2 linked regions of the Drosophila melanogaster genome follow. The protein of the gene in region 2 interacts with the protein of the main gene of each other region in a pairwise test. Each region holds a gene or a part of one and is shown on either strand. Other genes may lie near its edges.

Evidence for each region.
Region 1: the proteins of ben (region 2) and nopo interact in a two-hybrid assay, tested with the Drosophila melanogaster proteins (2 studies listed by BioGRID).

Annotation. Positions count from the first base shown.
Region 1 is NT_033778.4:18,179,070-18,183,327, reverse strand, and holds nopo (no poles), read right to left. Parts: upstream 2,712-4,258; 5' UTR 2,607-2,711; coding exon 2,491-2,606; intron 2,432-2,490; coding exon 2,216-2,431; intron 2,158-2,215; coding exon 1,804-2,157; intron 1,744-1,803; coding exon 1,686-1,743; intron 1,631-1,685; coding exon 1,511-1,630; intron 1,455-1,510; coding exon 1,251-1,454; intron 1,189-1,250; coding exon 949-1,188; 3' UTR 809-948; downstream 1-808. Other genes in the region: CG5721 (uncharacterized protein), read left to right, coding at 1-787; CG5726 (uncharacterized protein), read left to right, coding at 3,496-3,857.
Region 2 is NC_004354.4:13,994,425-14,000,569, reverse strand, and holds ben (bendless), read right to left. Parts: upstream 4,226-6,145; 5' UTR 4,047-4,225; intron 3,955-4,046; exon of another isoform or gene 3,773-3,954; intron 2,476-3,772; 5' UTR 2,410-2,475; coding exon 1,954-2,409; 3' UTR 765-1,953; downstream 1-764. Other genes in the region: Ste12DOR (stellate 12D orphon), read right to left, coding at 1-292, 350-360. UniProt on the Drosophila melanogaster protein: Catalyzes the covalent attachment of ubiquitin to other proteins.

The sequences.
Region 1 (4,258 bases), on a different chromosome or scaffold from region 2:
TTTAGGGAAAGGGAAGGACCGCCTGGTGCGTGAACTGACCGCCGTCTTCCGCTTCCTAGTGCTGGATGATGACATTCGCGTTGAGTTTGGATGCGCCCACGAGCACGCCCGCCAAATAGCAGGCGAGGTGCTCATCACCTTGGTGGAACTTTTGCCGGCCTATCAGGATCCTAATGTTCTGGCTGATCTTCTGCTGACCATTGGAACACTGGCTGTGCGTCAGGAACTCTGTACAGCTATCGACGAGGCTGGTGGACTGAAGTCCGTCTTCGAGATCATGAGTTCGAATTTGGATGAGGTGCGTCTAAATAGAGAGGCCTTAAAGTTGCTACGTGCCCTGGCTGGCCAAGACTCCGTGAAGTCACATATAGTACAGCAGGGCGTGGCTCCTATAATAAAGCAATTGCTAGAGACGCACCAGTCCAATGAAAACATCGTTGCCGCCGCTTTGGCCTGCGTGACTACTCTGACACTCCGAGTGCAGGAACACAGTGCCGCCTTTTTCGATACCGGCATCGCCGAAGTAATCGTGGAGGCTCTTCGCGCCCATCCCAAACACAAGATAGTCCAGCGAAACGGAGCGTGGGCCATCCGCAATATGGTGTCACGGTCGCGGAACCAGTGTGAAACCTGGATCTCCTTCGGCGTTGAGGATCTACTAAATATGGCAATGAAGGAGCACCCCAGTGTGGAGCAGGACATCAAGGCGGCGTTGCGCGACCTCGGCTGTAGTGTCCACTTGCGCGAGGAATGGACGGGCACGGCGGAGAAAAAAATTGCCGCCTAATCGCACACACATATGCCTTTTGTATTTTTATATATTTACTGCTAAATTATTACTATTGCTTAATTCATGCATTGGCTAACTAACAAAATCGGCAATCCTCAATACCAATCGCGTGCTAATACCCAACTGGGGCAGTCTCTTATGATCACATGGCTGTGGACTTATTTGCCCAGGTTAAAGTTGCGCAGCGAGCCGGCTTTAAGACGCTGGTTGACATTCCGGGAAAGGGCGGTCGAGGATCTGATTGTGGAAAGACCCTCTTCCTCGGCGCGCTGCGCAAAGGGGTCAACCTTCTCAGAACCGCCCATTCCATTGTAGACAAAATTTGAGCCCGTCGTGGCCGTCAACGCAGAACTACTTGAACTTCCCAGCAGCAGTCTTGGCTTCTTGAAGATTGAATACTGGGGGAATATACGGAATTTTTAAATGGTTAAGTGGAATTCGGCAAAATTATTGCGTTTACCTTTTCACTGAGATCACTGCTGGTTTTCCGTATGGTTCCGCTGGTCATAGACACACCGCCACCGACTCCCTTGATGGGCGATATTTTAGACTTGGCCAGCCCAATGTTACCCTTAGTATTAAGAAGATGCGCCAACCCGACGCTGCTGGATTTAATGTTGAGATATGGGGAGGTGGATTCTTCGATGCGCTTAATATTCTCCTTCTGTAGGGCAGCAAAATATTAGTAGCTTATATTTTCGTTTATTCGTGTCTACTCACAACTGTAGGGGAAATAGTGGTACGCCTTTCCTCCCTTTTAAGGGCCAAAATGTTGCTGTTCAGACCACAAGAGGCATTTGGTGAGTCCAAGTAAGCGGTCTTGTTCTCAAAAGCTTGTAGCTGAAAAGATAATAGTATGTTTAATCGAAATTGTGTTAAAGAAGGCTCAGCAAACCTTCTCCTGCGCCTGGTAAAGGTCGCTCTCCAGGTGTGAAACACGCTCTTCCAGCTTGCTGCAATCGAATGAGCACATATCAATTATAAAAACCACGTTTGGAATGTTGTGAGCATACCGCTTTAGTTCGATCTCCTTTCGCAGATCATTCTGCACCACCTTCACTACATTCCTGAGCTCCGTCTTTTTGCTCTCGCATTGTCGCAACTCCCTCTTGAGAGTGGACACCCAGTTGGCTAGGACATGTGGATCAGCCTCGTTCTTGAGCAAGCGGTCGGCATCCGCCGAGCCAGCCGCCAGAATAGCCGATATGCCTTCCATACTCTGGATCTGTGATTTCAATGTTTTGTTTTCCTTGCGCAACCCATCAACGACATGGGCATCACTCTTGAGGACGCCAATTTGCTCGACATAGCTGCTGATGAGAAAATCCTTCTTTTGCACCTTCTGCTCCAAACCGGCTATGGTTTTGCTGCAAATGAGAAATGCATCAGTCTGGTACTTAAGGCAATGTGTATACAAAAGCATACAGGCACTTCTTTTGTGTTTCCTTCAGATCCCGAATCTGCTGTTCATCCTTGTTGCGCTCTTTTTCGACCATTTTCATGGACAACATCGCATTGTCCAGCTGCTCCTGCAGTGAACCAACATCGATGTGGCTCACATCCAAGTTGGCCAGATTGAAATAGACCCTAAATATGTTGCGGGTAGTGCACTTATTCCGGCACTGAGGACAGGTCTTTGATCTGCGAAAGATATTTGATTTTATTGTCGGGAATCAGAAATATCCTTATGCGTTGTTTACCGATCGAGCCATTGATTTAGACAGTTGTGGTGGAACATATGACCACAAACTGTGGCAAAAACCTCGTCGGCCTGGCCAAACAATTCGGCGCATATCACGCAGTTTAAGTTCAACATTTTTGGCACAAATAACTACATAAAAATAGTTATTACAAAAGAACAACAAATAAACGCACGCCGAACAGTTTGCGCGCCCAACGAAACACAGCTGACTGATGGCGATTTTACGATGCTCCAATGAGCGGAATTCACCACACCAGTATTTGTCAAGAATCGATTGTAGACAATAACTGTTAGCTGATAGATATTTCCACGACAAACTAATTGCTAACTAACTTGGCTTAAGTCGAAACAACAAATAATGTTTACAAATACGCTTACTCAGCCACTGAAACTAAAATTCATCCTAAATTTTAGAAAGATATGTATGTGTGGATACTTTTTAAACCCTACTTCTTAAGATATACTGTGGATATAAATTTCATATTTTATTCTGCCAATCCATCTTAAATCCAGCTACTTATGCTCCGTACTTTAGCCCCATGGTGGTCTTATCGATAACAGCGGGAGCACTGTGGCGCTATTTACGAAAGCACACCGTGTGCTTTCGATATCGCGACAATGCTATCTAGAGGTGGAGAAACATCGATGTTTTAAAGAACACAACACATCGATGTTTTTCCACCTCTTTTAAAAGTCGTCAAATAGCAATAATAAATAGGAATAGTTATAAATTTGTGCATTTAATTTCGTTCGTTATTTGCGTTTCAATCGACCGTGGGTCCCAGTGAGCTAACTGCACCTGCACCCAAAGCGGAAGCTGAGCGAAAAGGTGTTTCATTTGGCGTGCGCATTTCGACACCTTTGTCAACGCTGATTCTTATTTGGTGGACCGACGACTCACACACACGCGCGTACCAATATAACAGACACTGAAGTGTGTGTGGAAGGGACAGACAAACAACCGTGCGATAACAACAACAAACGGCAGTGATCGCGGCGAGAAATGGAAATGGCCAACAACATGGTCAGCAGCAGCAACAGTGGCGGCGGTGGCAGCAGCAACACCACCTCCTACGGCAACAACAGCTACAACAACAGTGCGGTGGACAGTGGTCACAGTTCGCACAGTGGTGTCGGTAGCGGGGGCGGTGGTGAGGGAACGGGAGCGCGCCTCCGGGATGTTTGTACCATCCTGAACACTGGCCCCGCCGCCTATCAAAATCAAACAGGTGGCTATGCCTACGACCACATCATCGCCCTGATGAGGAACCTTGATCTGCAGGACGATGGCATTGTGCTGAACTCCAAGATCAAGACCATCGAAACGGACTTCTGCAACATAGTGCGCGACGAGTCTATGCTTTGGTATGTGTGCCGATCTCTACCGTTTGGTTGGTTCGCTCATTGATGATTAATCATATCATAAGTAGTGTGTTTATTTGCCACCTCTTTTCGCATATACATATGGATGTATGTAAATACCCGGCGTAGGTACAGTGCGGTGCGATAGCATATGGGCAAGGCGAGCTCCCAAGCCCATCAAAGCCAGCCATGTGATAACAAGACTTAATGCATGCAGTACATATCTGCCTGGCGAAGACCGATCCTTATTGTAATATTTATGACATTCCATTACAAGTAGCATGAGTAATTCGTTAAATTTGGGAGCTTGTGGCGTTCGCCCATAGGTTACAGCATTCTATAAGTTATTCCAATAATGAAATGCTTGAAATGCAGAAACCGAATTACTAATCAAGTTCAAACGT
Region 2 (6,145 bases):
GGGACACGATCCAAAATCTCCTCGCATATATTTTCGGTGCATAGCAATCAGGCCACGCTCTGACCTGATGTATCGGGCGTGAATCATGCCGTACCACTTCTTTTCATCGCCGTACAACAAGCCAGAGGAACTATCGATCACCGGCTTCAGGATCACGTCCAGTATCTCGCTGAAATACTCCAAGCCCATCTGGTTGAACGTATCCTGCACGTAGTCGGTGGGCACGCGGCAGAGGAACTGGTTGCCCTTGATCCCGAGGAACCAATCGATCCAGCTGCTGTTGTTGTTCTGGCTACAAGATTTTACTGTGACTTGCTATAATTTCTATAGGAAAAACCTAGTTACTTACGAGCTCGACATGTTGCCAGTTCACTTGTTCAGAGAAATATGATTTGTAGACTTCAAAGTCATCGTCTTCTTCTTTGAGTTTTTGACACGTGCTAAAAGGCCTGCCAGGACTCTGTCATGCCCTTCCAGATGGGAACTCTAGACTCGAAAATTCGTTTTATGTTCGGCTGGCATAATAAGTATTAGTTCTTTTATTTCATAATATGTTATGCATACGATATTTTATGTGTCAGTTGGGCCAAAAACAAATCAAATGTCATTGTTTCGACAAGGCAGCATCGGCTGATACTATTTATAAATAGTATCCAAATCAAAATCCTATAAATTCAGTAATTTTTTAACACTTAAATTAATTAATAAACTTACCATTCAGTTATATTACCACTTAACTATTTAAATAAAACACAACTCGGTTTATTTTTTATAATTTTTATTTGAATTTTTCGTTTTTATTTATTTTTCTTAGAAAAAAATTAATTAAAATTAAAGAAAACTGAATTTTTATTTTCGCTTACTCTTTGATTTATGGTTGCTTTTCGGTTGCTATTGTTTTTTGGATTATCCTTTAGTGATTTCGGTGACAAACATTTAATTACTGTACACAATTTTTGTTGAGAACTGCACTTGAAATTTTCACGCAATCAAGCCACTACTTTTGTTTTTCTTTTTGTATTTTTTTTGTATAAATATATAGTGTATGCATTCATTGTATTTTGATCATGTATCATATTTTTGTATATTTTTTATATATATATTTTTTATTTTTTTTTTTTTCAAAAATTACTAATAGCTTAAAGGCTTCATTGTTTGGTTAAAAAAAATTGTTTTCGAGTAAAAACTATTTATCGTTTATCAAAGGGACTCTGACACAACCCAGGCAAAGCTCAAGTATCAATCGAAATGGTGAACTCTTAGTTAAGAAAAGTAAAGTCTACAAGTTGGACGATCACATCTTAAATTTTCTGAAACACTGAAAATGATACAATCAAAATTCTCTATTTTGAATTGACATTTAAGCCGAGTTTTCAAATGACGAGTTAAAGGAAATCAAAATCCCTTCTTGTTTGCCTTTCCAATTGATTTATCATATCTGATGCTACATGTGTTAATGGTTATGGGTTGGTTATTTCAGTTACACATAGAATTATATACGGCTATATGTATATAGACACCAGAACCCTCGAACAAATCAATAGAAACGACTAAAACCAATTACTGTTTTTTTTTTTTTTTTTTTTTTTCGTTTTTAGTTTGTTTCGGATACATGTATACGTCTTACATAAAGAATGCTTTCGCTATCTCTCCTCCATTTCGCCGATCGCCCCGATCGATTGGTTGAAAAAAATATATATATTAATATTTTATATGTATATCCCGCCCCAGAAGGTTCGAAAAAAAAATGTGTTCTTAAATCGTTTTTTTTTATGTTTGCTTCCTTACTTTTTTCTTATTTTATGTTTTCTTTCGTATGTTTTAGGTTTTTCTGGTTGCTTTTAAAGTATTCAATTTACCCACCCGCCCGTTCATGTCACGCACCCACTTTCTGGAAAAACGCCGATACAACTGACGGATCCGCTTTCTGACTTTCCTCCTGACCTCGGGCGTTCAGTCTTCGACGGCATATTTCTGGGTCCACTCGCGGGCATTGCGAATGGCCTCCGCCTCGTTGACCTTCCACAACTCAGCCACATCGTTGGCCAGCGGATCGTCGGGATTGGGTGCACTGAGCAGTGCCTGAATGGATAGCAATATGGTCCGGATCTGCAGGGCTGGACTCCACTTGTCCTTCAGCACGTCGAGGCAAATGCGGCCCAAACGATCGATGTTCGGATGGTAGATCTTCGTGATGAAGCGCACTTTGGGCGCTGACATTGGATAGTCCTCCGGTAGGAACAGCTCCAGCTTGAACACGCCGCCCTCGAAGGGCGAATCGTTCGGTCCGGTCACGATCACATGGAAGTAACGGGCATTGTTCTCATCGGGAATGGCATTGATCCCAGGCACTGGCTCCTGCATCAAACGTTGAGTCTCCTTGATGATGCGACGTGGCAGGCTGGACATCGTTTAGCTGGTTCCTTTTACGCGGTGAACTGGAAACGCGGGTTGAGTCTGGACCTTCTCGTTGAGCTGCAAACGAGATCGGAGTGAAGTTAACCAATTAAGTAGTTCCTCGGTATCATCCACTATCCACTCAACGTTAATTAAGACTATAAATTAGTATCCCTAATGTTTACAGTCGTGGTTTCAACTGTGAAATTAAACTAATTACTAATTTAAATAAGGGCTCAACTACATGTATCGGTGAAATAGTAGCATTAGTAAATTGGAGTTTCACTTGGTTTTCTTGGGGAAGAGCGTGGCAAGTCAAAGAGAATTTTCCTTTTTGCAGCTCAAGGTCGTTCTTTATGGGGATGCGTGTGTGCAGGGTTGGGTGGATTTTGGTCTGATACGTGGCTTTCACTTTCCCCAAGAAAGTTTTACTACAGAATTTAGCATGCCACAAAGATGTCTCTATGTGGCTAAAAAAAAAAATAAACTAATTCAAAATATGTTGTATATTTAAAGATGTTTTCAAATTGTAGTACTTAATAATATTTATATTGAAGTATATGAACGGAATTCAAAGTTATTAACTTGATTCTGGATATCTAGACTATATTGTAAACCAATATTTTCAATATTTTCTGGATTTATTTCCGTTACACTTTTTGCGAAGTTCAAAATAAATTTCTGCTTGTGTAAGTCAAAGCCCACCCACTATTGCCAACTCCTTTAGCGTGACCTTGCGGCTCCTTTAACTGTTTACATTTCCCAGACACACGGAAAATCAAGTAAAATAAAGAGGAGAAGGGGAAAGAAAGACGCAGATAAACCAGAAACAAAAGGCAATAAATGAATGCCCCAAAATTTCCAGAAATTGTATTGCGAAAGCAACAACAACAGCAACGAAAAACACTCGAAGCAAACAAAAGAAATTGCGTTATTAACGCGAAAACAGCAATAATTTAACCATAATGTGCGGCGTTTCGCTGTTTTACCAACTTATTGATTTCCCTTTTGGGTGACAAATGCACGTAGTTCCGCAGAGGAAGAAGAAGCAGATTGGACAGGAGGAATGCGGAGGGGGAGAAACGGGGTGAACCGCTTGAAAAATCAATAATGTTGGCAATTAAACTACAAAAAAAAAACCAAATAAGATTTTTCTTTTTTACAAGCAACAATTTCGCTTGCATACGCACACACACAGACACAGCGAGTCACGCACCCACGCACACAGACAAAATGCAGACAACGCGCACGAAAAAGACAAAGGCGAAAAGAGAATATGCGGATGGGTGAGACAAAGAGGGCGAGTCAAGAAAAGAAGAAAAGCAAACGCCGCTTTTTTGGCGAATTTAAGTTAATAGAAAAAAACGGCGAATACTTGGTGCGAACGCCGCAATTATTATTTTTCACACACACACACATATATATTCGATTTATCAACTTTTACGGCTTTTTTCTTGCTCTTCTTCGATATTATATTAAATTTTATCTGCTGCCTCTGCTTCTTCTGCTGCTGCTGCTCCTGCTTTTTTTTTGCTGCTGTTGTTGTTGTTGTTCTCACTTTGGTATTTTTTCGGGCATTTACAACATTTTTGGACAAAAACAATGGTTTTTAGATAAAGTATGCAACTTTCGATAAAACACAAACTCACATCGTAACAGCGCCAAGTTATTGCTGAACTTTATTTGCAGTTATGGCCGATAACTTCGTTGGCAAACTGATAAAATTCGATTTTGCAGGCAGCTCCACCACAAAAATTATGAATGTCGAACACACTCGAAAAAAAATGTAGCCGTTTGGTAGTGTGTGTGTGCGTTGCTGTGACTAACGTGCGTCTGTGTGGCGTGCGTGTGAGCGGCAATGTCAAAATGACAGGGTTGCTAGGGTGCCTAGATGTGAATTCAATTTTTTTGCAACACGTTTGCACCTCCTTCTCAGTTTAATTTCAGTACAAATATATCTTTAAATATTTTCTTTGCTACTCATCTTGTTTTTTATCCCATTTTTCCATTTTTGCGCAGGTAATTTTATTGTTCGCACTAGTAAAAACGCATTTTCGGTGACAACTCTAGCGCTTAGCGGCTGTCAAATAGGACAGTGTTTCATAGCAATCAGCTCTTCGGCACGCTACAACCCAAGGTTTTGGAGCGCTTAGCTTTTTTCTGTCAGAAATTTTGATTGGAAAATTGGCGGGACAAATCCAGTTGAAAGAAACACGAAAGAGAAGTAACAAAAAGTGTAAGTTCCCGGGAATAAGCAATAAATTTAGTCGGGATTTATTTAATCGACGACTTTGATCTTTGTTTTCGTTGCTTAAAACCAATGCTTTGCATTTTTAATATTCATCAGATGTAACCTAACTTCATACCTAAGGTAAATACATCTAAAATTCTCGAGAAATTTGGTCATTTATGTCAGCACTTTATAAAGCGATATTTGAACTGCATATTAGCACTTATTAATATGGTTTTATGTTCTTTTTAACATCATAACCATGTGTTTCCCAAAAACTTTTATCACAATAAGACTTATAATAAAAAAAAATTGCATGCAAATTAAAATAAATTTTATTTCTTTAGTATTATTCGATAGCAAATTAATGATTAAAAAAATGATTGTACATAGGTTTCGTTATTTAACAAGTCTAAAAGGAGCCGGTACAGGATTCCAATCAGACACGTGCAAAAACATAAACCCAAAAAGCGAGATAGCAACAACAACAAATTGTCAATTTACTGTAATCAACATTTATGCGTTTTTAAAAAGAGAGGCTGTCCGAACACACACACACAACTGCGCACTTGCACTCACACCCACACACCTCGAATGCAATGCCCAATGGACGCACAAGAAGCCGAAATGAGCAACAACAAAAACCACAAGGCGGAAGGCAGAAAACTAAAATACAAAAAAAAACAAGCGAAACCTCTCGCTCGCACACACACATGCTATTTACCATTCGTATTCGTTCGATTGCATAGGCCGGTTGCATGTGTGTGTGCGAGTGTGAGATAAAAACAAACACCAACTGCAAAAGGGCAACAAAACCAACAACAGCAAGACAGCCATAAGCATTACACACACCGCACACAAACACACACACACACGTGCGATCTCCGTTTTTAGGCTGGCCAAACCAACAACAACGACTGTAGTCCAGCCCACAAGTGAGAGCGAGAGAGAGCAACCTGCCTCTTTTCTGCTTTGCTGTTTATCTGTTTTTCTGCTGCAACTGCGCTGCTTTTCCCTACGCAGTGCACGTGTGTGTGTGTGTGTGTGAAAGTGTGTGGGTTGGTGCGAGAGGGGATGAAAGAGCAAGAGAGGGCGGAACGGGGGCGACCTTTATTCGCTCTTGAGCTGCAGCTGTTTTTAGTGCCTTCCTCTATGTATTTTTACGCTCGATATGGCCAAATTCTAACCGCTACAGCTGATCTTCAAAGGAATGTGATAGAAAGTGAGGGGGGAAAGGGGAGAAGAAATTGATAGAGAAGACGAGGTGAAGAGTGTAAGAAGACATTCAAATCGAAGGACGTTTTAAAGTTCTGCTACAAAGTGAAGATTTAGTCGAAAAAGAAAGACTAGTATAGCCACTTCTTTAGTGGTAGAATATAATGAAATTCTCTTGGTTTTCGTACAATAAGTCATTGAAATAATAGATGTATCTATGTACATATGTACATACATATATCGGAATAGAAAACCTCAATGCATTTTTTCCTCTTTCAGAACACCGAGAAATGATAGAAAAAT